4 linked regions of the Elephas maximus indicus genome follow. The protein of the gene in region 1 purifies or fractionates together with the protein of each later gene. This does not show direct contact. Links are inferred from orthologs where the notes say so. Each region holds a gene or a part of one and is shown in the gene's direction. Other genes may lie near its edges.

The links.
Region 2: the proteins of FBXL17 (region 1) and KLHL9 purify together in Homo sapiens (co-immunoprecipitation; 3 studies listed by BioGRID and IntAct, with this or other methods). This does not show direct contact. The link is inferred for Elephas maximus indicus from reciprocal best matches to the Homo sapiens genes FBXL17 and KLHL9.
Region 3: the proteins of FBXL17 (region 1) and ZBTB18 purify together in Homo sapiens (co-immunoprecipitation; 3 studies listed by BioGRID and IntAct, with this or other methods). This does not show direct contact. The link is inferred for Elephas maximus indicus from reciprocal best matches to the Homo sapiens genes FBXL17 and ZBTB18.
Region 4: the proteins of FBXL17 (region 1) and ZBTB10 purify together in Homo sapiens (affinity purification with western blotting; 3 studies listed by BioGRID and IntAct, with this or other methods). This does not show direct contact. The link is inferred for Elephas maximus indicus from reciprocal best matches to the Homo sapiens genes FBXL17 and ZBTB10.

Annotation. Positions count from the first base shown.
Region 1 is NC_064820.1:117,507,034-117,514,550, reverse strand, and holds the start of FBXL17 (F-box/LRR-repeat protein 17), read left to right. Parts: upstream 1-4,507; 5' UTR 4,508-4,601; coding exon 4,602-5,600; intron 5,601-7,517. UniProt on the Homo sapiens protein: Substrate-recognition component of the SCF(FBXL17) E3 ubiquitin ligase complex, a key component of a quality control pathway required to ensure functional dimerization of BTB domain-containing proteins (dimerization quality control, DQC).
Region 2 is NC_064827.1:30,999,982-31,007,851, reverse strand, and holds the start of KLHL9 (kelch-like protein 9), read left to right. Parts: upstream 1-4,869; 5' UTR 4,870-5,078; coding exon 5,079-6,932; 3' UTR 6,933-7,870.
Region 3 is NC_064842.1:20,159,497-20,166,924, reverse strand, and holds the start of ZBTB18 (zinc finger and BTB domain-containing protein 18), read left to right. Parts: upstream 1-4,420; 5' UTR 4,421-6,189; coding exon 6,190-6,202; intron 6,203-6,243; exon of another isoform or gene 6,244-7,428.
Region 4 is NC_064833.1:61,170,363-61,177,821, reverse strand, and holds the start of ZBTB10 (zinc finger and BTB domain-containing protein 10), read left to right. Parts: upstream 1-4,454; 5' UTR 4,455-4,533; coding exon 4,534-5,502; intron 5,503-7,459. UniProt on the Homo sapiens protein: May be involved in transcriptional regulation.

The DNA of each region.
Region 1 (7,517 bases):
AGCTGAGGTAATTCTATGATTGGGTATCTTAATAATTCTTATCTAGAAGGGAGAAAGAATGGGACAGGTTAGGACTATCATTGGTAAAGAAATAGCTGGCAGTCATATTAGCTAGAATGTTTGGTCATTTTTGTGGTTTGTTTTTGATTTGCTGTCTTCAAACATTATTTCAAAGGGGTCTTGGTTTTGTCTCGTCCTTTATGGTCACAGAGTAGCCTTGTTTGATGTTGGTATTCTGTGAGATTGTCTATATTCAATAGAACACCTAGACTTTGCTGGAAATGCCAGGCAAGCTCCTGGCAACACTAGGCATAGCTGATAGAGATGGGCCTGCTTCTGGCTGTGCAGGCTACTTTTTTTCACCAACAAAGCTATCAACTACAACAATTATCTCCATAATTACAATTTACAACTCTTTGGCTTTCTGAAAATTTAGAGTATTTATCAGGATTTTTAGGGTAATAAATTGTAAAACTGGATTACAGCTCTAGAGACAACTGCAGTTGTTTAATCATTTATAAAACATGCAAGACCCTCTAATATATGCTGTGGTAAAGAGAGTATAGACGGGGCCTCAAGGAACTTAGTTTCTCTTGGGAGAACTGGGAGGGTGGCGATGGTGGGAACAGTTGTGAGAAGTTCTTAACTATGAGAACAAGTATTATAAGAGAGGCACAGTGTTCAATAGTTAGACCAAGGATGATCTTCTCATCGCCGAATGGCTCTGGAATTGGGAGTAAGACTAGTGCTGTAACTTTTGGGAACCGCTTGAAGTCTTAGTCACTAGAGCTAGATTACATCTGTAGTTCTGACAGATTTGCATGGTGCAGCCTGTCTGTGTAGGAACAGTATAGGGAGCTTGTTAAAATTAGGTACTATAGATTCCAGGGCGCCAACTCCAGAGTGTCTGATTCTGTGAGTCTGAGGGGACCCTCGATCTGAATTTCAAAAGCTTCTTGAGTGATTCATTCAAACAGACTGGAAACCAATGATTTTGATTTTCTCTAATATTTTGTGACTTTGAAGGGGAGCAGATTTTAAGGAGGTATAACGGAAGGACATAGTATTTTAGTTACATTTTTGGGAATAAAATAAGTATTAAACAGTAAGAGATGGGACACTTCAGGAAAATCCCCAAGTAGTGACTCAGTAACCGCTTGGGCTCACTAGGTAAGAATTTTCCTTCAGGGAACAGATGAGATTAATACATTGTATCCACCGTTGTGAGCCAATGTCCCTACTATTTTCTGCATATCTACACAAAGGAAGAATAAGGTATAAATCACCTGCCTAAAGTGCCTCTTCCTCACCCTTTTAAAAATGAATTCTGTGTACTCCTCTTTTCTGATATGTCTCCATCAAAAAAAAGTTATAAAGGACTATACCATAGGCAGAGGCTGTAATTAAATTTTATCATGGACTCACATGATTTTCTCCAACATTTTATTATAAAAAATTTCAAACAGAAGTTGAAAATATTGTACAGTCAACATCTGTATACCTACCTCCTATATTCTGCAAGTAACATTTTACTGTATTTGCTTTATCGTGTATCTAGCTAGCCATCAATCCATCTTATGTTTTTAAAATGTATTTCAAAGTAAATTAGACATCACTACACTTCATGTGCCCTGAATACTTCAGCATGTATACCTTAACTAGATTTCAACATCTTAGGTAAGATTTACATACAGAGAAGTGCATAAAACTTAGAGTACCATTTAATGAGTTTTGACAAATGTATACACCTATGTAACCCAATAATCACCACCCAGTGCCTCTTCCAAGTTAATGCCTCTTCCCAGAGGCACACCCCAAAGCCAACCACTCTTCTGATTTTTTTCATCATAGATTAGTTTTGCCTGCTCTAGTCTTTCATATAAATGGAATCTCACTCTTTTGTAAGGATTCTTTCATTCAACATAAGGTTTTTGAGGTTCATCCATGTTGATTTGTGAATCAGTATGTTTAGTGGTATTCCACTGAATGAATATAATACAGTTCATGTATCCATTCTATTACTGATGGACATCTGGGCTGTTTACAGTTTCTGGTGATCACGAATAAATCTCCTATGAACATTTTTGTACAAGTCTTTTCCTGATATATGCTTTTATTTCTCTTGCGTAAATAGCTAGAAGTGGAACTGCTGGGTCATAAAAGTAGGTATATGTTTAACTTATACGAAACTGATAGATCCATAATTTTGACACAGGGATAGTAATGAAAAGGCTTAAAACACCATCTGCCTTTGCTCAAAATACAGCCTGGTAGAGATGGCAAAGGATCTGTCAGTGGAGCTCTAGGGCTCTGGAAGATAACCCTATAGGTATAGTGATGAAAGCTGTGTGGACAACATCCATGAGTGAATGCAGTTTGGGCAGTGCATTTGATAGTGAATAACGTACATGAAACCCATTAAACAATCTTTGCCCTTAGACCTCCCCCCAATGAAACAAAAAAAACCCCAAAAGCAGAAAACCAAACCAGATGCTGTCGAGTCGACTCCACCTAATATATTGGAAGTAGACTGACAGGCCTTTCTTCTGAGACACCTGATCTGAACTACTAACCTTTTGATTGGTAGCTGAGCACTTAACTTTTGCGCCACCTAGGTTTCTTGCAAACAGTTGCTAGGCTGCTACCTGAAAGGCTGGAGATTTGAGTCCACCCGGAGGCCTCAGAAGAAAAGCCTGCAATCTAACTCCATAAAAATCAGCCACTGAAAACCCTGTGAAGTGCAGTTCTACTGACACACCCAGGGTCACCATGAGTCATAATTCACTCCACGGCAAGTGGTGATCAAGCTCAGAAAGAGGTGAAATCTCTGTGTGACAGACGTAAAATAAAAGTCATTTTTGACAAAGAGACCAGTATTAGCAAAGATTTCAAAGAGTAAAGGCTGGGTGAGGCTGGCCACTGTGGTGGGAAAATTACACAGGGCAGGGACCAACATTGGTCCCCAAGTTGGGATGCTTCTTGAATTCTGCAATACTGCTTCCTCAGTGAGCTCTCTCAAGTTATCTCAAGTTACCCTTAGTAGCTTTTCAAAACACTAGCCACTTCTCCCCTCAAAGGTGACCAGGGTCCACGCAAAAGAAAAAAGAAACCGTCTGAAAGGAGCTCTTTCAACTTCCTGACTGAAACGTCCATCTGTAATATATATTCATCCTTTCCTTATTCCCTCCAATCGCAATGAAAAGAGTGTCTCTCCTAAGGTACTGAGACCCTATCTTCTCAGTGGCCTTGCTGTATCATCTCTTTTCATTCCCTTCTCTTCCTCCACATTGGCTCATTCCTATCAGTATTTGAACCTTCTCAAATTTATCGCATGTGAAAACTAATCTTCCCTCACCATCAGGTACCATTCTGGTTACTGCCCTCTTTGTTCTCATTATATCCAGAATTTCTAACAAGTTGTTTGTCCACAACCTCGTTTTCACCTTGGTCACCGAGGGCCGCCTCGAACAGTTTGTGTAGCGCCTGACAATCATTTTTAAGTATATGATGGATGGGATTCTGAGGGTGCAGACAATAAAGTCATCTATAGCTTGTAGTTCGGGTGGATGACTCACTGGGTTGAGAAAGTGTTTCTCTCTCAGTTGTTTATGGACAATTTGATACACATTTGCAATAAAGTCAGCATTACGCCACAAGCATGAAAACAAGTAGGGTAACACTGTGGTTGCCTGGTTTCCCAGAACCCATCAGCCCCTCACAAGAGGTCAAGGGCCCACATCACCTAAGGGCCACGCGTTTCCCATCCCACCGGAGGAGCAGCCTGGGCCCAGAATGGTCCTTCCGGTGGCAGCCGTTTTACCGCTCCGGGGGCCTCGGTCTCCCACTCCGGGGGGAGCCGAGCGGCTCCCGGCCAATGGCAGCTCTTGAACTTACACCTCGAGACGTCAGCGCGGCTGTGCAAACGGATGTCACACAGCTGGCTCGGAAGCGTCTCCACCCGCCCCAAAAGAAGGGCGGGGGCGAAGCGGCCTCCACGAGACCTGGGGCGTCGGGAGGGAGGAGCGCGCGCCGCACCCCGCGAGCGCCGCACCCACGCCAACCACTTGTTTCCTGCAGTCCCCTGCCGGGCCGCGGTCCCGGGTGAGCAGCCGAGCGCCGGCGCCTTAGCTCGGAGCGCGCTGCTGCAGCTGGCTCCGCCCCCTCCCGGAGCGGGCCGCGCGACCCCGCGGCGCCGAGCTGTGTCGCGGGCGCGCGCGCCGCCAGCGGAGCCGCAGTTAAAATGGTCTGAACCCGACCCGGCGCTTCCCCGGCTGCCGCGGTGACTGACTGAGCCACCGGGCCGAGCCAGGACTGGTAGCCTAGCCGGCAGGCTCTCTCGCTCCCTCGCGTCCCCTAAGCTCGCTCCCATCGTTCTCCCGGCTTCCCTGGGCAAAGCATGTAGCCCCCGTCGGGCGCCGGGGCGGCCCCCAGCTGACGCCCACCCCCCACCGTCGCGTGTGTGTCCGTGCGTGCGTGCAGGGCAGGCGACCCCACCGCGGGCCCGAGGCCGAGCCAGCGAGCGGCCTGCCCCGCTGCCGGGAGCCCGCCTCTTCGGGCCTCCCTCTTGCCCCGTCCCCGTCCCCGTCCTCGGGGCCTTCTATATGGGCCACCTTCTCTCGAAAGAACCGCGTAACCGCCCGAGCCAGAAGAGGCCTCGCTGTTGCAGCTGGTGCCGCCGCCGCCGCCCTCTCCTCAGACTGCCCCGCCGGCCCCCGGCCAAGGCGCCCCCTCAGGCGGCGGCGCCCCGGAGCCGGGACTGCTTCTTCCGCGGGCCCTGCATGCTCTGCTTCATCGTGCACAGCCCCGGCGCGCCCGCCCCCGCCGGCCCAGAGGAGGAGCCGTCGCTTTCGCCGCCGCCGCGGGACGGGGCCTACGCCGCCACCGCCTCCTCGCAGCACCTGGCGCAGCGCTACGCGGCCCTGGCCGCCGAGGATTGCGCCGCTGCCGCCCGCCACTTCCTACTGTCCTCGGCCGCCGCCGCCGCCGCTGCCGCTGCTTCGGCCTCGTCGCCCGCCTCCTGCTGCAAAGAGCTGGGGCTGGCCGCGGCCGCCGCCTGGGAGCAGCAGGGCCGGAGCCTCTTCCTGGCCAGCGTGGGGCCCGTGCGCTTCCTGGGGCCGCCCGTCGCCGTGCAACTCTTCCGGGGGCCGTCGCCGTCGCCGCCGCCACCGCCACCGCCGGCCGAGGCCCCCACGCCCCCCGAGATGGTGTGCAAGCGGAAGGGGGCCGGGGTGCCCGCCTGCACCCCCTGCAAGCAGCCCCGCTGCGGCGGCGGGGGCTGCGGCGGCGGCGGCGGGGGAGGGCCTGCGGGGGGAGGTGCCTCGCCGCCGAGGCCCCCAGACGCCGGCTGCTGCCAGGGCCCGGAGCAGCCCCCACAGACGCTCTGTCCTGGGCCCTCCTCCCCCACTTCTGAAGGTGTCACTACAGAGGCGGTCGGGGGCGCTGTCCGAGCGGGAGGCGGCGCTCCCTTGCCAGCCCAGAAGCAGCACGAATGTGGCGACGCGGACTGTCAGGAGCCCCGCGAAGTCCCCTGCGACTGTTACAAGGAGCCACCCCCGGAAACCCCAGACATCAATCAGCTGCCGCCGTCCATCCTGCTCAAGGTGGGTCTGTGCTAGAGGCGCAGGGATGTTCGCTTTCCCCCAACTCCGGCCCTAGTCTGCGAGTTTTCCTCTCTCCTCCTCCTCAGCGCGGGGAGGGGGCTTCACTGATTGCTGGGGACGTCCGAACCAGAGGTTGGGAAGCCAATGGGGAGGATGCTTATGCTTTTTTTTAAGTAGGCAAAGTTGGAATCTGCTGAACGTCTTTTAATATCTCTGATCTGTTACTCATAATTCAGGGTTCACTCATTAGATTCCCAGCCCAGTGGTTTAGCAACTATTTGTAGGTTTCTATGAAATATTTTATTAACTGAACAATTTATAGTTATTGCGTAAAAACTTTGTTAGTATTTGAAAACTTTCAAACGATACTTTCAGGTTTCTTAGCTGATGTTATTAACGGTTAATTTTTATTGAGCATTCACTATGATCAGGCACTGTGCCAGAGATTTGTATACATAATATCACATTTAATTCTCCACATAACTCTGTGAGATAAATACTGTTAACATCCTTATTTTATATAAAAAGAAACTGATATTTGAGTGCTGTAGACCTGGGCTTACAGTAGTGAGTCAGGCAGAAGTGGTTCTTTCTCCTATGGAGGTTATAGTCTAGTGGGGCTTGAAGCCATTGAATGACTTGTCCGAGGTTACACACAAAGGGGTAGATTTAGGTCTTCAAATAGGGAATTTAGGCCTGCCTGTCTTAGGAAAAAAGTTCTTGTTCTTTTTGTTATATTATGTTCCTTTCCTACTTTTTAACCCGTAAACAAAAGCATAGAAATGATCAGAAGGTAAGAACAGGTATGTATTTTGTTGGGGGTGGGGAGGTGGGTGAAGCAGGTGTGTGTTTTGTGTAAGCTTTATGTCACTTTCAAATACTAAGTGAACTTTGCAATTTTGTCAATTGGCAATGCTAGTGACAAACTTTGATTTATGTGATCAAGTTTGTATTAAGTTACTAATTTCTTTGTTGTTCTTATTTTCTCTTTTCTCTCCCCTTCTCCTTTCTTGGGACTTAATAAATATAAATTATGTTTTTTTCAGTTTGATTAGCCATAAATAACCTTGATAAGTATTGGATTACTTTTCTTCTTACTGAAGGTCACAAATATACTTTTTTAAATTAGTCTTTGTGTTCAGATCTGTTTTATTGTGATATTAATGTTCTTGTGAATAATACAGCTAAAGCGGGGGAAAGCTTAACTTTTCCTTCTGTCAAAATGTTACGACTTAACTCTTATGGAGCTCTGGTTGTTGGAGGAGCGAGTGCCTGTTGTGTTTGTGCAGGGGGTGGATTTTTTTTTAATTATAGGGAAGTTTATTTCTCTCACATGTAAAAGAAGTCCAGAAATAGGTAAATCTGTGGTTGGTACATTACCCTATGGTCTTCTGTCTTGCTGTTTTGCCGTCTTTTTCTGCTTTTTTTTTACTTTTGGTGAAAATAAAAAAAACAGCAAAACCTACACCACTTCAACAATTTCTGCAGGCACAAGTCAGTGACATTGGTTACATTCTTCAAGTTGTGCCACTTTTGTCAACAGCCTTTTCCGAACTCTTTCACTGTCGTTAACAAAAACTGCCTCCAAAGCTTCTCATCTGTCCTTTCGAGTTGCTGTTGTCCATTTGATGACATATAGATAATTCTTTAAAAAGAGTATAATGCTTAATGTAGATATTTTTTTCTAATTAGGCTAAACCTGATATTTGGTTCAAAGATGACTTCAGGGAATAGATTGGTTAAAGGTTTAAAGATTTCCTCAGGATAATCGTTTCAGGGGGTCATTTGGCCTCAATGGCTGAATTCCATGGATTTTCCATGAATCAGTCATAAAATTGACATGAATCAATCACAAAAGGTCCAATTTTGTATGCTCTCACTTACATGAAATCACAAAAGTAAGCAAATGTCTATTAG
Region 2 (7,870 bases), on another chromosome or scaffold:
ATACAGTGACTCTGTGTTCCTTCCATCTTCTTTTGATGCTTTTACATCGTTACATATGTTTTGTCCATAGACTCCTCCAATATTGCAACTTGAAGCTTGAATTTTCTTCAGTTCCTTCAGCTTGAGAAATGCCAAGTGTGCTCTTCCCTTTTGGCTTTCTAACTCCAGGTCTTTGCACATTTCATTATAACACTTTACTTTGTCTTCTTGAGCTGCCCTTTGAAATATTCTGTTCACCTCTTTTACTTCATCATTTCTTCTGTTCACTTTAGCTACTCTGTATTCAAAAGCAAGTTTCAGAGTCTTTTCTGACATATAATTTGGCCTTTCTTTTCCATCTTTTTAATGACCTTTTGCTTTCTTCATGTATGATGACCTTGATGCTATTCCACAACTCGTCTGATTTTCAGTCATTAGTGTTCAATGCATCAGTTCTATTCTTGAGATGGTCACTAATTCAAGTGAGATATACTCAAGGTTGTATTTTGGCTGTCATGGATGTGCTCTATTTTTCTTCAGCTTCAACCTGAACTTGCCTATGAACAATTGATGTTCTGTTCTAAAGTTGGCCCCTGGCCTTGTTCTGACTGATGATATTGAGCTTCTTCATTCTCTTTCAGCAGATGAAGTCTATTTGAGTCCTGTGTATTCCATCTGGTGAGGTCCAGGTGTATAACTGCCGTTTATGTTGTTGAACAATGATGTTTGAAATGAAGAAGTCATTGGTCTTGCAAAATCCTGTTGGATGTTCTCCAGTGTTGCATCTTTTACCAAGGCCTTATTTTCCAACTACTGATCCTTCTTCTTTGTTTCTAACTTTTACATTCCAATCACCAGTAATTATCAGTGCATCTTGATTGCGTGTTTGATCAATTCAGACTGCAAAAGTTGGTAAAAATCTTCCATTTCTTCATCTTTGCCATTAGTGGTGGTGTGTAAATTTGAATAATATTCCTACTAACTGGTCTTCCTTGTAGCTGTACGGATATTATCCTATCACTGACATTGCTGTACTTCAGGATAGATCTTGAAATGATTTTTTTTTTTTTTTTTTTTTGACGATGAATGTGATGCCATTCCTCTTCAATTTGTCATTCCTGGCATAGTAGACCATATGATTGTTCAATTCAAAATGGCCAATTCCAGTCCATTTCAGCTCACTAATGCCTAGGATATCAATCTTTATGCATTCCAATTCATTTTTGACAACTTCTAATTTTCCTGGACTTCGTACATTCCACAATCCGATTATTAGTGGATACGTGCAGCTGTTTTTTTCTCATTTTGAGTTGTGCCGCATCGCAAATGAAGGTCCAGAAGGCTTACTCCATCCATGTCATTGTGGGTCATCTTCCGGCACTATATCAGACAGTGTTTCACTGTTATTCATAAGGTTTTCAATGGCAAGTTTTTTGAGAAGTAGACTGCCAGGTCCTTTTCCTAGCCTGTCTTCATCTGGAAGCTCTGCTGAAGGCTGTCCACTGTGCATGACCCTTCTGGTATTTGAAATACTGGTGGCATAGATTCCAGCATCACAGCAATAGGCAAGCCACCACAATAGAACCCAGTAGAGTATGATGTAGAGTATTTAGCAGAAAGGGGTTCTCTCTTTCTTCCTTCCCAGAAAATTGTAAGAACAAAGAAAGAGGGAAGGAGGGAAAATAATCAGACTTTGTTTCCTGTTATCTTCTGAAAAGAGAAAAGTATACCAGGTAGGTTGAGGTGAGCACCAGAGACAATGGGTTCTTGTCCCGCTACTCACTTTAAGAATGGTCATTGGGTACCATCTCATGGGTTACCCCACACCAATCTGGAGGGTCATCACATAATCATGGCATCACAGAATGGTCAGCCAAAGACAGACTCTGAACTTTACAACTCTCCTGACATGTCCTCTCTGCCTTTGTGGTGAACACTGCATTGAGAGGCAATAAGCCTCTAAAGTGGCAGAATGATGTGACTTGTAGCCATGACTGGTGTGGATCACCTGGTCTACAGGCTGGGACACCCAAAGCTGAAGGAAAACTGAATCAACAAATAGAGAAGATAGGTGATTTTCACAGAGAGGTCTGACTAAACTAAAAGAATGAACCTAGGTTGGCCAGCTGCAGATTGCTATATATATTCAGTATATATTCATCTAATATATGTATATTCAGTAAGAACAAGGGAGATCTCTCTGAAGACCTGGTGCCACCAGCACACAAACAAGGACCACACCAAGCTGGAGGTGGGGTTCTCAAAGGTCAGGAGAACATTAAGCCTCCATTCCCATACTTTCAGACACCATTTAAGAAAAAAATCAGAAGGAAAAGACTCAGAGACTGATCATTTAAACAGATCATTTGAAGCATGAGATCAGACTAAGCTTAAAATAAAATTGGACATTCAGTTGTAGTTAATACTACCACCAATAATTCAGGGGTGTGGGATCTGGAAAAGAATTGGTTTAATGATAATAAAATTAAGGCTTTTTTCCTTTTCTTTTCAAATCTAATTTTGAAAACCAGCTACATATAGTTTAGATCATAAATGCAATTTTGTACATATACATTTATCGTATATCTACTTACAGTGTTAAAAACAGTTGCAAACAGTATTTTTATGGCTATATAATAGCAGATGACATGACCTTGCTTGCTGAAAGTGAAGAGGACTTGAAGCACTTACTAATGAAGATCAAAGGCCACACAGCCTTCAGTATGGATTACACCTCAACATAAAGAAAATAAAAATCCTCACAACTGGACCAATGAGCAACATCATGATAAACGGAGAAAAGATTGAAGTTGTCAAGGATTTCATTTTACTTGGATCCACAATCAACGGCCATGGAAGCAGCAGTCAAGAAATCAAAAGACGCGTTGCATTGGGCAAATCTGCTGCAAAGGACCTCTTCAAAGTGTTGAAGGGCAAAGATGTCACCCTGAAGACTAAGGTGCGCCTGACCCAAGCCATGGTATTTTCAATCACATCATATGCATGTGAAAGATGGACAATGAATAAGGAAGACCTAAGAAAAGTTGACGCCTCTGAATTGTGGTGTTGGCAAAGAATATTGAATATGCCATGGACTGCCAAAAGAAAGAACAAATCTGTCTTGGAAGAAGTGCAGCCAGAATGCTCCTTAGAGGCGAGGATGGCGAGACCGCGTCTTCCATACTTTGGACATGTTGTCAGGAGGGATCAGTCACTGGAGAAGGACATCATACTTGGCAGAGTACAGGGTCAGCAGGAAAGGAGAAGACCCTCAACAAGGTGGATTGACACAGTGGCTGCAACAATGAGCTCAAGCATAACAACGATTGTAAGGATGGCGCGGGACATGGCAGTGTTTCATTCTGTTGTGCAAAGGGTCGCTATGAGTCGGAACCGACTTGAGGGCACCTAACAACAACATAATAGCACATTATATGAATGTACAATAACGTACTTAATCATTACCATGTTGTTGACTATTTCGATTATTTTTAATTCCTCAGTATTAAAAATTAAGTTATATGATAGACATGTTTTTGCATAATTTTCCATGTTTAGTATTATTTCGGTAGACCATAATCCTAGAATTTAATTACTGTACCCTTATCCAGACACGTGGAAACCCTGGTGGTGTAGTGGTTAAGTGCAATGTCTGCTTAACCAAAGGGCTGGCAGTTCGAATCTACCAGGCGCTCCTTGGAAACTCTATGGGGTAGTTCTACTCTGTTCTATAGGGCCACTATGAGTCGGAATCGACTGGACAGCACTGGGTTTGTTTGTTTTTATTTTTGTTTTTTTTTTGGTTTTTATCCAGACGCGGGGAAGTTCTGTGTCCAGATTCTATAAATTTGTCACAAATTCTGTAAAACAATGGACACAAGAATGTATACATCCAAGAACAAATAATGGGCGAAGGAAATAATAATATGCATAGTTTTTTTTACATAGTTTTTGGAAAATCGTGTAACCTTTTAGTAAATTGTGAATGGAGAACAAAAAAAAAGCATGAAGAAATTATTTATGATGGAATTGCACTGTGAGCAAAAAATTCAGGACAAATTCAGGATATAATATGATCACGATTTCAGAGAGATGTGTGTTTTAAATAAAATTTGAAAATATGAGCCAAAATGATAATTGAAGTGTCTGTTAAATTGTGTGCGAAAAGAATTGCAGGTAAACTCTTTTATAGACAAAAAATTTTAAGTATCTTCTTCTCATCCCCTCCGGTGCCAGGTTACCACTCAATTTATACACTGGCAGGTTCAAGGAAATTCAAAAGGCAAAGGCAGGAAGTGTAAATCTCATAGGAAAAATATGCATTTTGGAGAGCTCAGACACCGCAAAAATGGTTATACTAAATGCAGCAAAATATACGTGCACTCCTTGCGGCCCATTCAGGGCTACTTCCACTGTGACCCTAGGAAGGTCTGCTCGCCCCCACCCTCGCAACCTCATTTCCCCGTCCCCCGCCCCTCCCTCCAGCATCCCGTGCACTTCCTCTCCCCTCCACTGCACGCCCGCCCACCGATGAGGTCAGGCGAGTGCGCAGCCGCAGTAGCTGCCGCGGCCGCTCCTAACCCAGGGCATCTTGGGACTCGGCTTTTCCGGAAGGAGTGGCTCGGCGTCTCGGGTTAGGCCCGTGTTCCCGGCCCAGGCCCAGGCCCAGGCCCAGGCCCGTGTTCCAGGCTCCTGCTCGAAGACAGGCCCGTGACCGCGGCGACGCGCTGGTGACAGCGGAGGGCGCAGCGGGCCGCTTGCCGAAGTGCCCGGCTTCGCGGCGGAGCTGCAGTACGTGGCGGCGCCTGAAGGAGCGGCAGCGCAGGCCGGCCGAGGTGAACCGGGTTATTTAACTGCCTTCAGGTGATGACTCATCTGCATAATAATCAGATTTGAGGTCCGCAGCCGTTTGTGGTCCTACGGAGCAGTTTTCAGTGGATGACTGTCAGGTGTGCCCTGAGGGGTGCCACAGTTACTGCTCGCCCTTGTTAAGGAAAGCGAGCTGTATTGCTCTTTGGAAGCCCTCGTTTCCTCGAAAACATTGTTTATTAACCTCTTTCTTCAGCATTCTTCTGTCTGTGCAAGAGGAAGGTTTTCACATGAAAGTGTCTCTTGGTAACGGCGAAATGGGCGTCTCTGCCCATTTGCAGCCTTGCAAGGCAGGAACCACGCGCTTTTTTACCAGCAATACTCACAGCTCGGTGGTATTGCAAGGTTTTGATCAGCTTAGAGTAGAAGGATTGCTTTGCGATGTGACCCTGGTACCAGGTGATGGAGATGAAATCTTCCCTGTTCACAGAGCTATGATGGCGTCTGCTAGTGATTATTTCAAAGCCATGTTTACGGGTGGAATGAAAGAACAAGATTTAATGTGCATTAAGCTTCATGGAGTGAACAAGGTTGGTCTGAAGAAAATCATTGATTTTATTTATACTGCGAAACTGTCTCTTAATATGGACAATCTTCAAGACACACTTGAAGCTGCCAGCTTTTTGCAGATTTTACCTGTTTTGGACTTCTGTAAAGTATTTCTTATATCAGGGGTCTCTTTAGATAACTGTGTTGAGGTTGGACGGATTGCTAACACCTACAATCTTATAGAAGTGGACAAATATGTTAATAATTTCATCCTGAAGAATTTTCCTGCATTGTTGAGTACTGGGGAGTTCCTGAAACTCCCTTTTGAGCGGCTTGCCTTTGTGCTTTCCAGTAATAGTCTTAAGCACTGTACTGAACTTGAACTCTTCAAGGCTGCCTGTCGCTGGCTAAGGTTGGAAGACCCTCGGATGGATTATGCTGCAAAATTAATGAAGAACATTCGATTTCCACTGATGACACCGCAGGACCTCATCAATTACGTGCAAACTGTAGATTTCATGAGAACGGACAATACCTGTGTGAATTTGCTTTTGGAAGCTAGCAATTACCAGATGATGCCATATATGCAGCCAGTGATGCAGTCAGACAGAACTGCCATTCGATCTGACTCGACTCACTTGGTTACATTAGGAGGAGTTTTGAGGCAACAGTTGGTTGTCAGTAAAGAATTAAGAATGTATGATGAAAGGGCACAAGAATGGAAATCTTTAGCCCCGATGGATGCTCCTCGTTACCAGCATGGCATTGCTGTCATTGGAAACTTTCTTTATGTGGTTGGTGGTCAAAGTAATTATGATACGAAAGGAAAAACCGCTGTTGATACTGTTTTTAGATTTGATCCTCGGTATAATAAATGGAAGCAAGTTGCATCATTAAATGAAAAGCGCACATTCTTCCACTTGAGCGCCCTCAAAGGATATTTGTATGCGGTTGGTGGGCGAAGTGCAGCTGGTGAACTGGCCACAGTAGAATGTTACAACCCAAGAATGAATGAGTGGAGCTATGTTGCAAAGATGAGTGAACCCCACTATGGCCATGCTGGAACAGTGTATGGAGGTTTAATGTATATTTCAGGCGGAATTACCCATGACACTTTCCAAAATGAGCTCATGTGCTTTGACCCAGATACAGACAAGTGGACACAGAAAGCTCCAATGACTACAGTCAGAGGTCTGCATTGCATGTGTACAGTTGGAGACAAACTCTATGTCATTGGTGGCAATCACTTCAGGGGAACAAGTGATTATGATGACGTTCTAAGCTGTGAATACTATTCACCAACCCTTGACCAGTGGACACCAATTGCTGCTATGTTAAGAGGTCAGAGTGATGTTGGAGTTGCTGTCTTTGAAAATAAAATTTATGTTGTTGGTGGGTACTCTTGGAATAACCGTTGTATGGTAGAAATTGTCCAGAAATATGACCCAGAAAAAGATGAGTGGCACAAAGTTTTTGACCTTCCAGAGTCACTTGGTGGCATTCGAGCTTGTACCCTCACAGTTTTTCCACCTGAAGAAAACCCTGGATCACCTTCTAGAGAATCTCCTCTTTCAGCACCTTCAGATCATTCCTAAGACTAAGGTATAATACATTTGCAGTGCATCATGGATGATCTCTTTTCCTTCAGTTGTATTTCTTTTTACAGTGATTGGTACAGTTATTAGATAAAAGGTAATCGATGTCATTTGTGTTTTTTTGCCTTAGTATGTTTACCAAACGACTAATAAATGCATTCTGAAAATGTGTTCCACATAGCCAGCTGTTTTAACAAATGAAAAAAAAAAAAATGTGTAGAAAATGTTTAAATTAGATGTCTTCTTGTGGTGTTGTGTAAGTCAAATTGGAGGTGATTGTAGTAAATACACTCATGTTACAGAGTTGCAAGTTTTCATCTTTACCTGCAGGACATCGAAGGGAGGCAGCCTGTTGTAACCTAAAACAAGTATTGTTAGCTGACCTCCTCTTTTCGTAGAGCTTTTAACCTATCTGTGAACTGAACTTACCAGATTGTATGGATTCACACTATGAGACATTTCTTGAAAACATGAGAAATAATAAATTCAAAATATTAACTTGAAAAATCAGTAAAGCCCTAAGTCAGAGTTTGATATCTCTTTTTAGAGAGTTAATACACATAATTTTAAAATCCATTTGCACTTCAACTATGTGTGAAATTGTTTTTACATTAAAAAAATTTCCCCACAGATCAGCTATTTCTATTCATATGGGAATTCTGTACCAGAGGATACTGAATTTAGATAGATAAGGGCTGTAACATTAAATTGACAACCAAATTTGTCATTTGACTAAATTGTTGTGTCACATGAAATTTACATTACTTTTCTGCTTTGCTGTTGAAGTAACTTGTACATTGTTTTATGTAGAGTTGCTTTTCTTCAGGTTATTTAGCAAAGTTCAAATTTCAAAGAATTGTTTTTACTCAATGTAGGTTTCACTATTTTTGTTCAGTAAAACCTAGGAAAAAAGTGAAGAAATAATGCTGAACAAAGTT
Region 3 (7,428 bases), on another chromosome or scaffold:
TAATTTTTAGAGAAAAACTTTCCAATTATATATGAAGTTAATGGTGTCATTAAAAGCTAGCATTCAAAAATTACTTTTATAGGTAACTTTTTCAATGTGACCTATTTCACAAAATAATAAAAAAAAAAAAATTGCTGTCTTTCAAGGATTTGACCTGCGGTTCACATTTAAAAAGTCAGACATTCATTTTACAGAATTGCACATCACATTAAATTTGATGTGGTCCGTCAACATTTTATAGTGTTAAATTGTTATTGGTCAAAGTGTATGTGCTATTAAAATAAAACTTGTTCTCTGGCCAGAAATCTAATCATGAATGTAGCTTCACTTGGATCATTTTTAATTTCAGGACTCCCAGAAAAGCATGGATTAACTGGACACTCTACAAGACTGTGATTCCTCCAGAGGGAAAGTTTAATTGTTTATTTTTTCCAGTAGCTAGAGACTGTAGTTTTTGTAATTTTTTTCTTTTTTCACTGGGGGGGGGGGCAGGGAAGACAGTAGATTACTAACCCAAAACAAAACCCTTAGCTCTTAAAAAAAATCTGCCATGAAAGTATCATGGGACTATGTTAAGCCTATTATACAGAGGTAAACAGACGCTCCTTTAAGGAGCTTACTCAAGGGAGGAGTTTAGAGTTGGACTTATTACCTTTCACAGCTCCGGTGCGTGCTGAAGAAAAATAGTAATCATTCTGTATTATGACGTCTCTGATATCAGTCTTGTTTTTTTGGACATTTTGTATGCTGATGTCTTTCCAAAGAGGATTAAAGGTATCATTTGCACAATACACTTAACAAAAAACAGTTCAAAGTCAGAAAGTGAAAATTATTTTAAAGACATAAAAGAAAAAAAATACAATTGCACCAGGGATTGGGGATAAAATGTAGCAACTGAACATTAAATTTAACTCCGAGATTCATATCCTATTACATTGTCATTTAGTGTCTCTGTTGTTTGGCATTTTAATATATTTATGCCACTTCTTTCCCAACTAAATTTAAGTTCCAGGAAGAAGAAAACTTGTCTTGCACTTTTTTGATGTCTCCCGTATCCCTAGCAGAGCACCTTCCTTGCATACAATCAATGCCCAGAAACATTTTTATTGATTTTTGACAGTGCATGAATGTTCCAGGCATTTTCATAAATTCATAAATCTTTCATATAATTGAGGGGGGCATGCTTGCTTCTCTAAATAACCATTTAGTCTATATTTCCTGGACGAGCTAGTCAGTTCTCAAAATGGAATCTAGTAATAACTGTTATGAGAAAAAAAATGGTCATAACTTTTGATCCATCAGTTTCTCCCTCCCTCTTTGCTCCCCCCAATCTCTGATGGCTGTTAATTCTACTTCTAGATGAATCTCTAAAACCTTGTTTTAAGGCTGTGATGTTGCTCTATATGGTTTACAGCTGAATTTGTAAGCTTATGTACATTCTGAATGCTTTAATTTTCTCATGAAATGTACTGTTTAATACCTGAGCCCTATCAAATACTTTGTCCATTCATCCAGAGATCTCTTATCTTCCTGATTTTTAATTTTTAGTGAGAAACAGCTTCGAGAATGCAAACTTTTTTTTTCTCTTTATTCCTGAGCTGTTAGCAAAACATGATACACGATACTCCCTTTTCCATCTCTCTCTCTCTCTCTCTTTTTTTTTTTTTTACAGTGTATATCATCTATCCAGAGTTCCCTAACTTTAAAGAGGTCGGGCTGGAGTTGGGCCTAGAATTCATCAAAGCACAGATACAGCAATAGATTGCAAGGAGTAAAACACTCTAGTTATCACAAGATGACCTTCATATCAGTGTGCAGTCATCAGGGTACAAAGAAGGGTGAGTGAACAGTAGACAGCATCATTATTGTTTCTAACAGGATATTCCAATGGTACTTTAGTTCCAGCAATTTTGTGTGCTCCTGTTTTCACTTTATTAGCAATTCAACATGTCTGATTTGCTCCAACAGTACTTTCCGACCTGTAACAAAGAGAAAACCACCACATTTTACTCTGTTGAAAGGTCTCCTGGCAAGTTGTTTAGCAACGGGCTTCTCAGTTCTCGGTCACTTAGCAAAGAATAAATACATTTCATTTGACGATGAACATTATTACACTGTCTCCCTTACTACGCTATTTCCTATTTTCTTGAAACTTTTTTTTTCACTTGTCATTCAACTTTTTACTTGTAATCTTTGCCTCCTCGAATTTTTAATTTCTTGAGGGTAAAAATTTCTACCCTTCTTTGTGGCCGCGGCAGTGATTAACACGATTCGTGGAGAACAGGTACTGAGCAAAAGTTTACTGGAGGGGAGAGAAAAGTGACACAAGTCCTCCCTCGTAGTTTAAAGTTGTGGCTGGATAAGTACCAATTAAGCAATCAGGCTAGGGCATCTACAAGTACCCATTTTACTGTAAACTCTCTACAATTTGGTCACTTGGGAATGCCCTTACTTTTAACACTGTAAGTACATATAGGGCATGAGAGTTCTGCGAGGAATTCAGGCGTTTTACTTTGCCCGAAACATGACGACAGAAGGAAGAAAACGCCCGGAAACTGTGCCTCTGGGCGGGTCGCGTCCTCAGCGCCCTGAGGTGCACCTGGAGACCGGACACCGCAGGACGCAGCGAGAACGTTCCGAGTCCTGCCTCGCCGCGCTCGGGCAGGCGAGGACCTGGGCGTCGTCACCAGCAGCAGGAAGAAGCGGAGGGAGCCACCTAACGCCGGACTCGAGTCATCTGTGTCCCCGTCTACCCTGCCTCCTGAGGATACCTGCGTAACTTAGAGCAGCCAAGACCCACTGCACTTGAAAGTGCATTTACGGTTGTCACGGGGCGCACCGAAACGCTTGCTCCGCACCCCCAGGGCGCGCGAGGCCTCCTAGCCTGGAAACAAGCCCCTCCCAGCGCAGCTGTCGCCGCCGCCTGCGGGCTCCTTTCACTTTCTCACGGCCAAGTCACCCAGAGGGGCGCCGCTGCCGCTGCCGCCGCCGCCGCGGCCGCTGCGCCTCAGGACTCCACCCCTCGCCACTTTGCTGCCGGCCCCGCCCGGCCCGGGCCCCGCCCACCCCAACAGTTTCTGCCTTTGATTGGCACATGCAAGCGGCAGCCCCGGCTCGCCTCTCCCATTGGCAGGGCCCGCTTGTCAGTCCGACGATTGCCCACCACCTCCTTCACCTTCCCGAAAAGCCGCCTTCCTATTGGAAGAGACTGCGGGATGGGGGCGGGCGGGGAGCGCCGGTCCAGCCGCTTTCGGTCAATCGCTGAAGCCCAACGCCGGGAGGGCGGGAGGCAGGCGGAGGAGAGGGGCGGACTGAGGGGGGAACATCTGGCCGGCGCCGCCGCGTGCGTGCGTGGTGCGTCCTCCCGCCCCCTCCCCTCCCCCCGCCCCCGCCCCCCCGCCGCAGCCCCCCCAGCCCGTGGCTCCGCGCTCGCTCCTCGCTCGCTCCCTCGCTGTGTCTGGCAGGCTGCGGCCGCCGCTGGGCTGCTGCCATGGGGAGCCGTTGAGAGTGGGGCCTCTTCGCTCCGCCGCGCTCCTCCGGCTGCCAGCGGGGGTGGGTGGGAGGGAGGGAGGGAGGGGCGGGGGGGAGCGGACGACGGAGCCGGGATTGGGGGGTGGGGGTCGGGCGGGAGGGGGGCAAGAGGAGGAGGAGGAAGCCCACCAAGTCCGGCGGCGGCGGCGGCGGCGGCGGCGGCCGGGAGGAGGCGGCGGAGGACGCGGCGGCGGCGGGGACGCGGTGACTTAGGGCCGCTCCGTGTGAGTCCCGGCTCCGGCCCCCGGCCCCTGACCCGGCGCCCCTTCGCCCCGGCCCTCTGGGGGCGGGGGCGCCAGCTGTGCCGCCCCGGCCGGCGGGCCAGTGCGGGCGGAGGGCGGGCCGGGCCGGGCGCCCCCACGAGTGGAGTTAGTTTGTGGGGTTGGAGCTGTTGGGGCGGCGGGGGGCGGTGCAGCTGCGGGAGGCCGGGCCGGGGCCGGGGCCGGGGCCGGGCCGCTGCAGCTGCGGGCCGGGCGGGTGCGGGCTGCCGGCTCCGCGCCGCGCTCCCCCCGGCCGGTGCAGCTGCGGCGCGGGGCGGGCTCCCGGCCGGTGCAGCTGCGGCGGCGCCTCTCGGGTGCGGAGGGCGGCCGGCGGGGGGAGGGGGCTTGGGAGCTGCCGCAGCTGCAGTGGCGCCCGGGACGGACGCGGCTCCGGGGACCGGTGCAGCTGCAGTGGCGCCCGGGGGGAGGGGGCTGGGGGAGGGGCCCCCGGGGCTGGTGCAGTTGCCGGGAGGCCCTGGGGGCTCGTGTGCGGTGGCGTCGGGGAAGCGGTAGCAACCAGCCTCCTCCGACTGGCTTCTTCTTAGGACTTTTCTTTTGTTGTTGCCGTGACCCGGGTCTGTTTCCTCGTTTGTTGTTGAAGGTGTTTGACTGCTGCACCGGCTCTATGCCCTACACCTCCTTCCCTGTGGTTTAATCTTCCTCTTTCCCCAGTGTGTTGTAGGCTCGGAGAACTACGTAGAGATTTGCATTTCTTCCCCTCCCCACTCCGCACCCCCACCCCGCCTCTTTGAAAAACAAAAACCCAACCTCACAAAACCTCTCTGGACCTCGGTAGCGAGACGTAGAGGGTTGATTTGTGGAGTGGGAGTCGCTGGCCCATTGCGGTGCTTGGGACTCATTAAACTGTCACTCACCCCCCACCCCACTGGGTAAATGGGGTGATTAATGCCTGATATATTGGAATGGGGCGAGGGCATTTGTGGAGAATAGGTTGTGTGGCTGAGAAGGAATTTATCTCCAAAAAGTGCCTCCTGAAATAGGCATTCAGAATTATGTCACTCACCGGGAAGTTAGAGAAAGTTAGGTTTGTGACTTTGGGGGGAACGAAAAGGACAGAGTTGTTGGTTTTAGTTACTCTGTAACTCTTTGCCACAGTTTTCTAATGAGAACAGAGTAATTACCACCGAGGCTGGGACACTTGCGCCTCAGGCCCCAGCTCCTTTTCTTCTCCTCACCCATCCAAAATTGTGGAGTTGTATTTGACATTCACAGATGTCGCTCCTCCGGGGTTGTGTTAGAATTTCATGACCCATTCGAAAAGGCCCACAAAGTCTAGCGAAAGTTTCCCAAACTTACCAGACCCGTTTTTTTTTTTTTTTTCCTTTTTCTTTCTCTGTCTCTTCTGAAAGGTTTTCTTGTGATCATGAACATTACAGAGTGACCCAAAAAAAGATTGTTATGGGACACAGATCAAGGAGGGGACAAGGTTCTGCTTTTTCTGAGCAGATCAGATCTGCAGGTGCGGCATTCATTTTAAGTGACCCTGGCAAGCTGTATCAGTTTATTAATTTGTCTCATTGGACCGAAGCACTTTCCAGGATTTCAGAAAGTACAGTTTCAGCTTGTTGATACTGAGAATTCAAATTTGCATTAACTGTGGCCCTGTGAGAAATTTTCCCTGAGAAAAGGTAGTTGTGGATAAGTAGTTAAGTAAGAGTGAAATAATAAAGTGAACTAGGTTGAAGTCATAATTCTCAGTAAGTCTTCCAACATTTCCGAGACATGTATCCCACTATCAGCAGGGGGAAAAAAAAAAAATGAAAGTGCCGTAATGATGTTGAAATGGGGCTGGAGATGTCAAGTGGGTTGGTTTAAAAATATTCCTAAGCTGCCTTTAGAGCTAAAGGTTGGCGTTGAATAGAAGTGAATTCTGAGTTTCCTGAATAGCACGGTGGTTTGAGTGTGCTTGTCAGTATATAAGGCAGTCCACCAACTTTAAGACAGAAGTGTTGCTATTCCATAAATACAGTAGAACTTCATATGCTGAGTTTTTCAATTTCCTCTGTTAGAAAGTTTGGAAAAAAAAGGGAGACTTTGAAGTATTCTGTTTATACTAACAGAAGAGAAAAGTTCTCCTAAGAAAAAGCTGGTGGCAGGAGTGTAGAGGAGTAGCATATGGCATTAAAAGGGGCACAGCTGGAGGTAGCATTTCCATCTGAACATGATGTCAGAGCAGCTGACAGCCTGCCATCCCTCAGCCTTTTATTCTAACACACAGACAGGGAGTTAGTGTGTGCGGATCTGTGGTGGAGAAGGTATCTCATTCCTCTCTAACATCATCTCCACTTTGCATCTGTCTCTCTTAGTCTGCTTTTTTCCCACCGATGTAACAGACCTGGAGCCAGCAAGACTCAGAGGGAAGGACTTAATCAGGTTTATGTGTCCTAAAGGTAGGAGTAGCAATAGATTAGACCGAGCATATTTCTGTTTTGGTGTTTTGTTTATTTAATTTAAAAAAAATCACATTCCTTTTCTAATCCAGTTTAGGAATAATATATGAAATTGAGTACTAAATGAACATCTTACTGGAGTTGAAAGGCTTGGGCTTGTTTAGTTTTAATTTTTATCCCTTTTACTTGAGTAAGTAACTTTAATACACAAATATTTCAACTTTTGAAATGTTAAGAAAGGCTTTTGAAATACTGCTTTTTGAGATCACTTTGGATTAAAATGCCTTTTTTTTTTCCCCCCACTGCTATTTAGATTACTTTTGCTTTTGGGGGGAGAAATAGTAAACTGTCTGGAATTAAGCATTCAAACTTGTATGAGAAGATTATTCTAGTTAAGGAGCTAGATTGTTGTGTAATTAATTCCACTGTGAAACTTTATTCTTCAAAACATTCAGCAGCTCTACTGAAACGTACAGCTGTAGTGCTTTTGAAACCGAGGGTGTTTTTTTTTTTTAAGGGAAAAAAAAAAAAACTTTTGTCCCCAGGAGAATAGTTTGACTGGTTTCCTCATTTCTCTTTCGAATATATATTTAAGAGATCTTTTATTTCAGCATAACAATAATTATTTGCAGGAGTTTTTGTGTTAGCGACTAATTTAGAACTTGTAGATTTGAGCTGCCTGAATTGGCCAGACAGCTGTAATCGCACTCTTCTATTCTTAATCTCTTTATCTGGGCAGCAGCTGCCATATGGCCACAGTCAGCTGGATCAGATGTTTATAAGCTTCCTTCTTCATCCCTCTCTGTCCTCTCAGCCTCCTAATTTGATCACGGCTACCTTGTGAGCTGCCCTACAATCTTTATTTTTAGCCCTCTCAAGGATTAGGATTGATGTTAGCTGTGGGGCACTTAAAGTGATTGTATTGTAAATCTTGGTTTATTCTAGCAGTGGCATCTTGCAGAATATATTTGGGGTTAGAATCAAAGTTTTCGTCTATCTTGGGTAAAGTGTTGAAGAGACAGGGAAGTCATTTCTGAATATTACATTAATATGTGTCTATTTCCAAAATGCACTTTCTGAGGTAGATGGTCTGGGGCTTTGCTTCTGGTCACTGGCAAGGGAAATAGGGATTTCTTTAAGTTTACCTAGTGCAGTTGAATTTTGACCCTTTGTACATCTTTGCCTTTCCCCCTTTCGAATTCACCTCCCTGGCCAGAAAACCAGGG
Region 4 (7,459 bases), on another chromosome or scaffold:
ACCTTCCAGACTAAGACAGACTAGGAAAAAAGGCCTGGTGATCTACTTCTGAAAAGTCAACTAATGAAAACCTATCGATCACAAAGGTCTGATCCCATTGTGTCTGCGGTCACCATGAGTAAGGGGCCAACTTTTGGCAGCTAATGACAGCATAATATATTATTACTTTTTATTGTGAGCATTGTTTTGAATAAATCTGTACAATCCATAGTATTTACAAGTCTGGATATGCATTCATGTATTTAGTTCATTTAAAAATTATTAGGATAAATAGAAACATTAGTTTAATAATTAAAAATATTATATTTTACTTAACTAAAAAATAAAAATTAAAAAAAAGGAAACAGACGAAAAGGTTGCCAGGTTGCTTACCAAAATAGATTGTAAGGAGAAATATACTAAACTGTTCAGGGTTCAACATTTTACTAATTGCCTACTATGTGACAGGCTGGGTGAAGTGGTGGGGGTAGTCAGTATAAATAATATATGGTTCCTAGCCTCAAGGTACTTCGTTCTGATGGATAATATATATGTTAGTTCCACAGACAGAATGATAGGCTATTGCCCCTAGAACCTGAAAAGGCAAAGTATTCCTCTACTAAGATAGTTAACGACAGTCAAGTTCCAACATCAAAGATCAATTGAGTCAGCCCCATCCCAGAGTTATGGTAAACGAGTATCAAGATGACCTACAGCAGCCTAAAGTGAAATTAGGGGACAAATTGGCTGGGGATGCCCCATTCTTGAGGGGTTCCCCTGGTAGGCATAAGGGGGAATTCCCTTAAATATGGTAGAACCCCCAAGAGTAAATATAGGGGCTAGAGGGGAGAACAGATCCCTGCTGGGTAGTAGGAGACTGAAAGGAGTGGGGGAATTCCTAAGAACGCCACTTACACAGTAGGAGATCCCCTTCTGTTACTCAAAGGGTATTCTGAGACATTTGTGATTACTATTCCCTTGATCTTTGTTTCTGATTCGATCTTCCTTCAGGGTTTAGAGGAAGACAACTGAATACAGAAATAGATATAAATGCAGAAATATAAATACGAACAGTTTGGCTGTTACAAGTTCAGTGGTCCTAGGATTCAGGCCGTTTTGTTTGTACTGTTTGAATCTAGTGTCATTCATTTCTAATTAGTCCAAGTTTAAACGTAATTCCAGACAGAAGACAACGTGGATCTAACAAATACAAGGCAATGATATATGTCTGACAAATGCAGTCCTGACATAATTAATACCATTTCTGGTTAATCTGTCACTACCAGAAATCAAAAATAATAATACTAGCATAAACTCACATAGTGCTTATTATGTCCTATAGGGTCGCTATGAGTTGGAATCGACTTGACAGCAACAAGTTGTTTTTTTTTGCTTTTTATGTACTATGCATAAAAGATGAAAAGAAGATTCGAGTTAATAGTTTCAGGAAGGAAACGGATTTTAATGTTGAAATAAAAATTCTGAAGTCCATTTTCACTTCCCACGATCTTTGATAAGTAATTAACTTCAGTAACTTTTCCCTCTTTTTACAGGAGATGGGGTGGTAGGATGGTGGTAGTTAAAATATAATAATGTATTTATTTGCAAAGTGCCTTGAATTAAGAAAAACAATAACTCATTTAAGGAGAAGGCACAATGTTATTATTACGCTCTTCCAAATACTACATGGAAGCACATAGTATTATATACAGTCAAGTGAGTAGAATCTTCTCATTTCTACAGGATACAAATTAAGTCAAGGTCACAGATTCCACCGTCTTAAACTTCCATACAAACAAAATAAAGCAAGACAACATCCCCAAAAATATACTAACCCAAGGACTTCATAACAGAATTTCAAGCTGTTGATCGCTGGTGGCCTGGTAAGAATATGGATGGCCAGGGTAAGGGGTACATATGATCATCACTAGAAAAATAACTCAAAGCAAAATCTTTTCATGGCAGGTTAGTAGTGCCATTCTTTACATTAAAATTACGTTTAATCTATAAGGTAGAGCTAATTTTTTTTTGTTTGATATACAACACTGCTCATTTACACACATACTAAAACTACAATTAATTCAGAGTTGCTTTGAATAAATTTACAATCACTGGTATTTATCACTCTCTGCACTCGTATACGTAGTCCATTTAAAAATATTCATACAAATAATATTTCATAATATCTTGGAAAATCTTTTAAAATTTTTGAGAAATAAAGCATACATACATTATATGTTTAAAGACTAAGTGACAGTATGCAATATTGTTATTCTAAAAATAGAAAAATAAATCAATATATATTTTAAGTTCTAAAAAGAACAAGAAGCATAAAACTGCCGTCGAGTCAATTCTGACTCATAGCGACCCTATAGGACAGAACAGAACTGCCCCATTGAGTTTCCAAGGAGTGCCTGGTGGATTCGAACTGCTGGCCTTTTTGTTGGCGGCCATAGCACTTAATGACTACGCCGTCAGAGCCTAAACATTGTAATACATGGTCTTTATAAAACACACATAACTTCACATAAAATATAATTATATATTCTAAATACGTAACTACTATATATATTACTATATTTGTTATGTAGAAAGTTAAAGTTCCTAGCTTAACTCCTCCCACTAGCTATTAACTATAGTTTGTGTGTATTTTTTTCTACGCACATCCCAATATATGTATTACTATTAGTATAAAAAACGTATCCTACCATTTAAGTATTTTTTCCCAGTCAACTATGTATTTTGGACACATTTTATGTTTTTTTATTCAACTTCTAATAAACATATTTTCTAAAAGAGTAAAAAGCCCTTCCATAGTTTGAGAACATTTTTCCCCTGAAATGAGTTTGAAAACAATAGTTTAAAATTTACCTTACGTTGTAAAATCCTAAACGGACTCTAAATATTTAAGCGTTCACTAAATGTAATGTATTAAGGAATTTTAAAATGAGCGTGGGGCTCTGAGTTGAAGCTTTTTCAAAGTTTTTTTTTTTTAACTCTACCAAGATTTTAATTATGGAAGCTTCATTTCCAGCTCAATCAGTCCTTGTAATTGCTCTAAATTCCACATATAATGTAAACAGTTAAAAAAATTAAAAATTAATTATTTTAAGCATATAATCTTCGGAGTCGCACCACATCCGTATAAGCAGACTCCTCCCCGCTCCTGGGGAAAACCCTGCCTAATATTTATAACGTTATGACATACTGTAATACTCACAAGGTGGTTGTAGAAGTATAAACACGACTGGAGTTATCTGATTGGCTGCTGGTGATGTAACACTCATGTCAATACTTCCCAGTGAACGCACGTGTTCGACCTTTTATTTAAATTTCCATTTCATCACAGCAATAAGACACTCGGGGCGGTGCATTTTCTGTGAAATGATTATTGCCTTGGGCCTGAGTTGCTGCTCGCATACACAATGCATCAGAGGAGGAGGTATCCACGGTTGTAACCTCCTCGCGTGAAAGGCACCGCCTGGTCCAGTCTTTGTGAAGGAACAAAATTAAGTTCACTTCCTTGGGCACCGCCACCCACCCCCGACCAAATGACAAGGCTGGAGCGCAGCTCCCACCGCACAGTTATTTCCAAAGTCCCAGGTGAACTCGTAGCGAGAGAAGGAAAATGTGCGTCCCGGGCGCGGGTAGGTGCGTGTGGGCAGCGGGGAGGCAGCCAGACCCTGACACTCGCCAGCTGTTTGTCCTCCGCGTAGCCCGGCCCCGGCTGCACACGTCCGCCCCCTCCCCGAGACCCCCAGCCTGCTGCCCGGCCTTTTGTCCCCCGCCCTCGGCCGACTTCCTTCCCCGCAGCCGCACCCCCGCCCCCAGGCCGGAGGCGCGGCCCGGCCCCTTTCCCGGTCCCCTGGCGCCCCCACCCTACCCCAGCCCAGCCCCAAGCCCAGCCCCCCTCCCCCAGCCCGGCCCCCACCCTTTCCCCCTCCAGCGGTTACTGCTACCCCGGTGCATTGTGGGCGCACGGTCCGTTGTTCATTTGCCATTCGACCTCCGCCAGGGCCTGGTCGGACGGAAACGCTCCGCCGGCTTTATTGTCGGTTCGTTATGTGGCGGAGCCCAGCAGTTTAATGTGCTCCTCGCCCTCGGCGCCTCGGCAGCCGGCGGCAGCCTTGGGACTCCTCGGTGCGCCGGAGGAAGGATATCTGTTTTGGAGGGTCTGTGTGTGCGCGCGGCTTTAAAGAAGAGGCAGCGGAGGGTCTCTCCGCACTCCGCCTCTCAACTTCGAAGGCCCCACGCGCCCCCGGCTCGCTCCTCACCTCTCCGCCGCCCGCCCCCTTCTCCGCGCGGGACGCTGCCGGGCGCGCAGCGGGGCGGGGGTGGAGGACGAGGAGAGCGGCCGGAGGCGGCGGCCCGGCGGGCGGCGGCGGACGCGAAAGGTAGCCGGGAGCGAGCGAGAACCGGCCGGGCGGGAGGGCGAGGCCGAGCCCCGCGAGACCGGAACGCCGGGGGCGGGGGCGAAGCGGAGGGGGAGCGCGCGGGACGCGGCCCGAGGCCGTGCGCGAGCCGGGGCACCGGGAGGCGGCGGCGGCGCGCGCCATGTCGTTCAGTGAAATGAACCGCAGGACGCTGGCGTTCCGAGGAGGCGGGTTGGTCACCGCCAGCGGCGGCGGCTCCACGAACAATAACGCTGGCGGGGAGGCCTCGACTTGGCCTCACCAGCCCCAGCCGCGACAGCCCCAGCCGCCAGCGCCGCCAGCGCCTCAGCAGCTCAATGGGCGGGGGGCCGACGAGGAAGTGGAATTGGAGGGCCTGGAGCCCCAGGACCTGGAGGCCTCCGCTGGGGCGGCCGCCGCCGCCGCCGAGGAAACCAAGGAGTTGTTGCTCCCGCAAGACGCGGGCGGCCCCACCTCGCTGGGCGGCGGTGGCGCGGGGGGGCCCCTGCTAGCGGAAAGGAACCGTCGGACTCTGGCCTTCCGAGGCGGCGGCGGCGGCGGGGGTCTCGGCAACAATGGCAGTAGCCGCTGCCGCCCCGAGACCTCGGCGTGGCGCCTGAGACATTTCAATGGGCGAGGGCCGGCGACTGTGGACCTGGAGCTGGACGCGTTGGAGGGGAAGGAGTTGATGCAGGACGGCGCGTCCCTGAGCGACAGCACGGAGGACGAGGAGGAGGGGGCGAGCCTGGGCGACGGCAGCGGGGCGGAAGGCGGCAGCTGCGGCAGCAGCAGGCGGTCTGGCGGCGATGGCGGGGACGAAGTCGAGGGCAGCGGCGTGGGAGCTGGCGAGGGAGAGACTGTCCAGCACTTCCCGCTTGCGCGACCCAAGTCTCTAATGCAAAAGCTACACTGCTCGTTCCAGAGCTCCTGGCTCAAAGATTTTCCTTGGCTGCGGTATTCCAAGGATACTGGCCTTATGTCTTGCGGCTGGTGCCAAAAGACCCCTGAGGACGGGGGAAGCGGGGACCTTCCCCAACTGGGGCATGATGAGCTTTCGCGAGGGACCCGCAACTACAAGAAAACCCTTCTCCTGAGGCACCACGTCTCTACCGAGCACAAAGCCAACGCCCAGGTAGAGTATATCCTGCCTTTACTTTCTCAGATTGCTTCGGGAAAGGCTTATCAGCTAAAAACCCCGTTTTCCTGTGTGAAAGCATGGTTCCAGTTAACAGCTATGCGGGGAGCCTATGCGTGGGGGTTTGGAAAGCCTGGGAACAAGTTTTCAAAGTTTGTGTGTGTGGTGATGGTGGGGGCGCAGAGTGTGTTTCTCCATTTATTTTTTTGTGACACAGATTTTTTTTTTTTTTTTTTGGCGTCATGAGATTGAATCGAAAGTTTGAGAAAGTGAGACTGAAGTTTTTAACGTAAAAGGTTGACTTGGCGCTGAAAGACTTTCTTAGCCGTGGTTTTAGAGAAGGCGCCTTATGTTCATAGTCCTTTAAGATTGTGTGCTGGTGAAAGTCAAATTTGGCAACTCTTTGAAGAATGAATTAAACACTTTCCTAAACCTTTGGTGCACCCCTTTCCGGAAAACTTCTAACCAGAAAGTTCTTTATATCAGGTCAGGATATTGTGAAATATGAGAGGTGTATAGATGTAGAGGAAGCTATTTTGGATAACACTCCTTTCTCGTGAATAATTTTACTAAATTCATTCCCATTGAACTTCTTGCAGAGGGAAAAAGGCTTGCTTTTGGTTAACTATTGTAGTTTTTGTTTACCTTGTTTGCGTCTATCTAGATTTCTTGGGTTGAGCTATTCTAATTTTCAACAAGTTGCTTAAAAATGCAGTTTACATTAAATACTTTAAAAAAACTTAGCATTGGATTAATCCTTAGCATTAATGTGAAGTTATTTGCATCAACTATATGATTTGAACTGGTAAGAGAATTTACCAAACTACCAGAAATCATAAGTCCTTAGTTATAAAACAAGCTGTTCTTAGTCCTTGTTTTGACATTTTCCAGCCTAAAGATAGTAGTCTTACCATTTTGATAACCCTTTTCAAGCCAAATAGATCTTTCAGTCTTTTTAGATAACTTGAGTTGGTGAATGTAATTCATTCTTTGTATTGGTAGCCAGTCGTTGATTTTAGAAAGTCAGCTCTCATAGTCTTTCTTTTATTGGAGTGATCTTGCCATTCAGCGAACTTTTACTGAAGTTAATTAGGCACCATCCAGTGGCCCTTAAGCATAGGAGTATCTCAGAAGTTAAGGCTTTAACTTTGTAGCACAGGGCTGTGCTTTTCCCAGTGGACAGTCCAGTCGTTTTTGCACAAATTTTAGTTGCTTGAATCCTGGAAGAGAAGTCATGTTAAGATATAAGGCCCAGAAAGGTTAAGTGAATTGTCCGACTAGAACCTACAAGGAATGCTGTAATGGAGAAAGAATGGGTTTTGGAGTAAATCTGGATTCAGGTCTCAGCTTTCTGCAGTTATTAGCTTTATGAACTTGGGCGGTGGAGTGAAATAAAACTAACATTTCCTTGTCTTTCGTGTGCCAAGCACACATTTACCTTACTCTGTACTTAGTTTTATTCCCATTTTACAGAAGAGGAATCTGAGTCTTTAATAACTTACTTTTAAAATTATTTAGTAAGATGGTTGAGTGGGGGGGGCTTATGAAATTAATACTTGCTTTCCAAATAATGGTAGGTTGGTTATTTAGAAAAATTTTTAAAAGACAGAATGAATTTTCTTAACCTACAGTGGACCAGTTACTCCTCTTATTGATGTAGTCTTTCCTGTAGGCAAATCTGAATGGGAACGCAAATTTTAGTTAGGTAGCTGCTTAAACCCATTGCCATCGGGATTCAGACTCATAGTGACCCAGTAGGACAGGGTAGGATTGCCTTATAGGGTTTCCAAAGCAGACTGCTACGTCTTTCTCCCAAGGAGTCATGGCTGGTTTGAACTGCTGACCTTTGGGTTGGCAGCCGAGCGCTTTACCACTGCACCACCAGAGCTTGGTGAACCTGAAATCAGAGGAAGGGGGATTAGTTGGATAACCTAATGGTATACTTTCTAGCAGT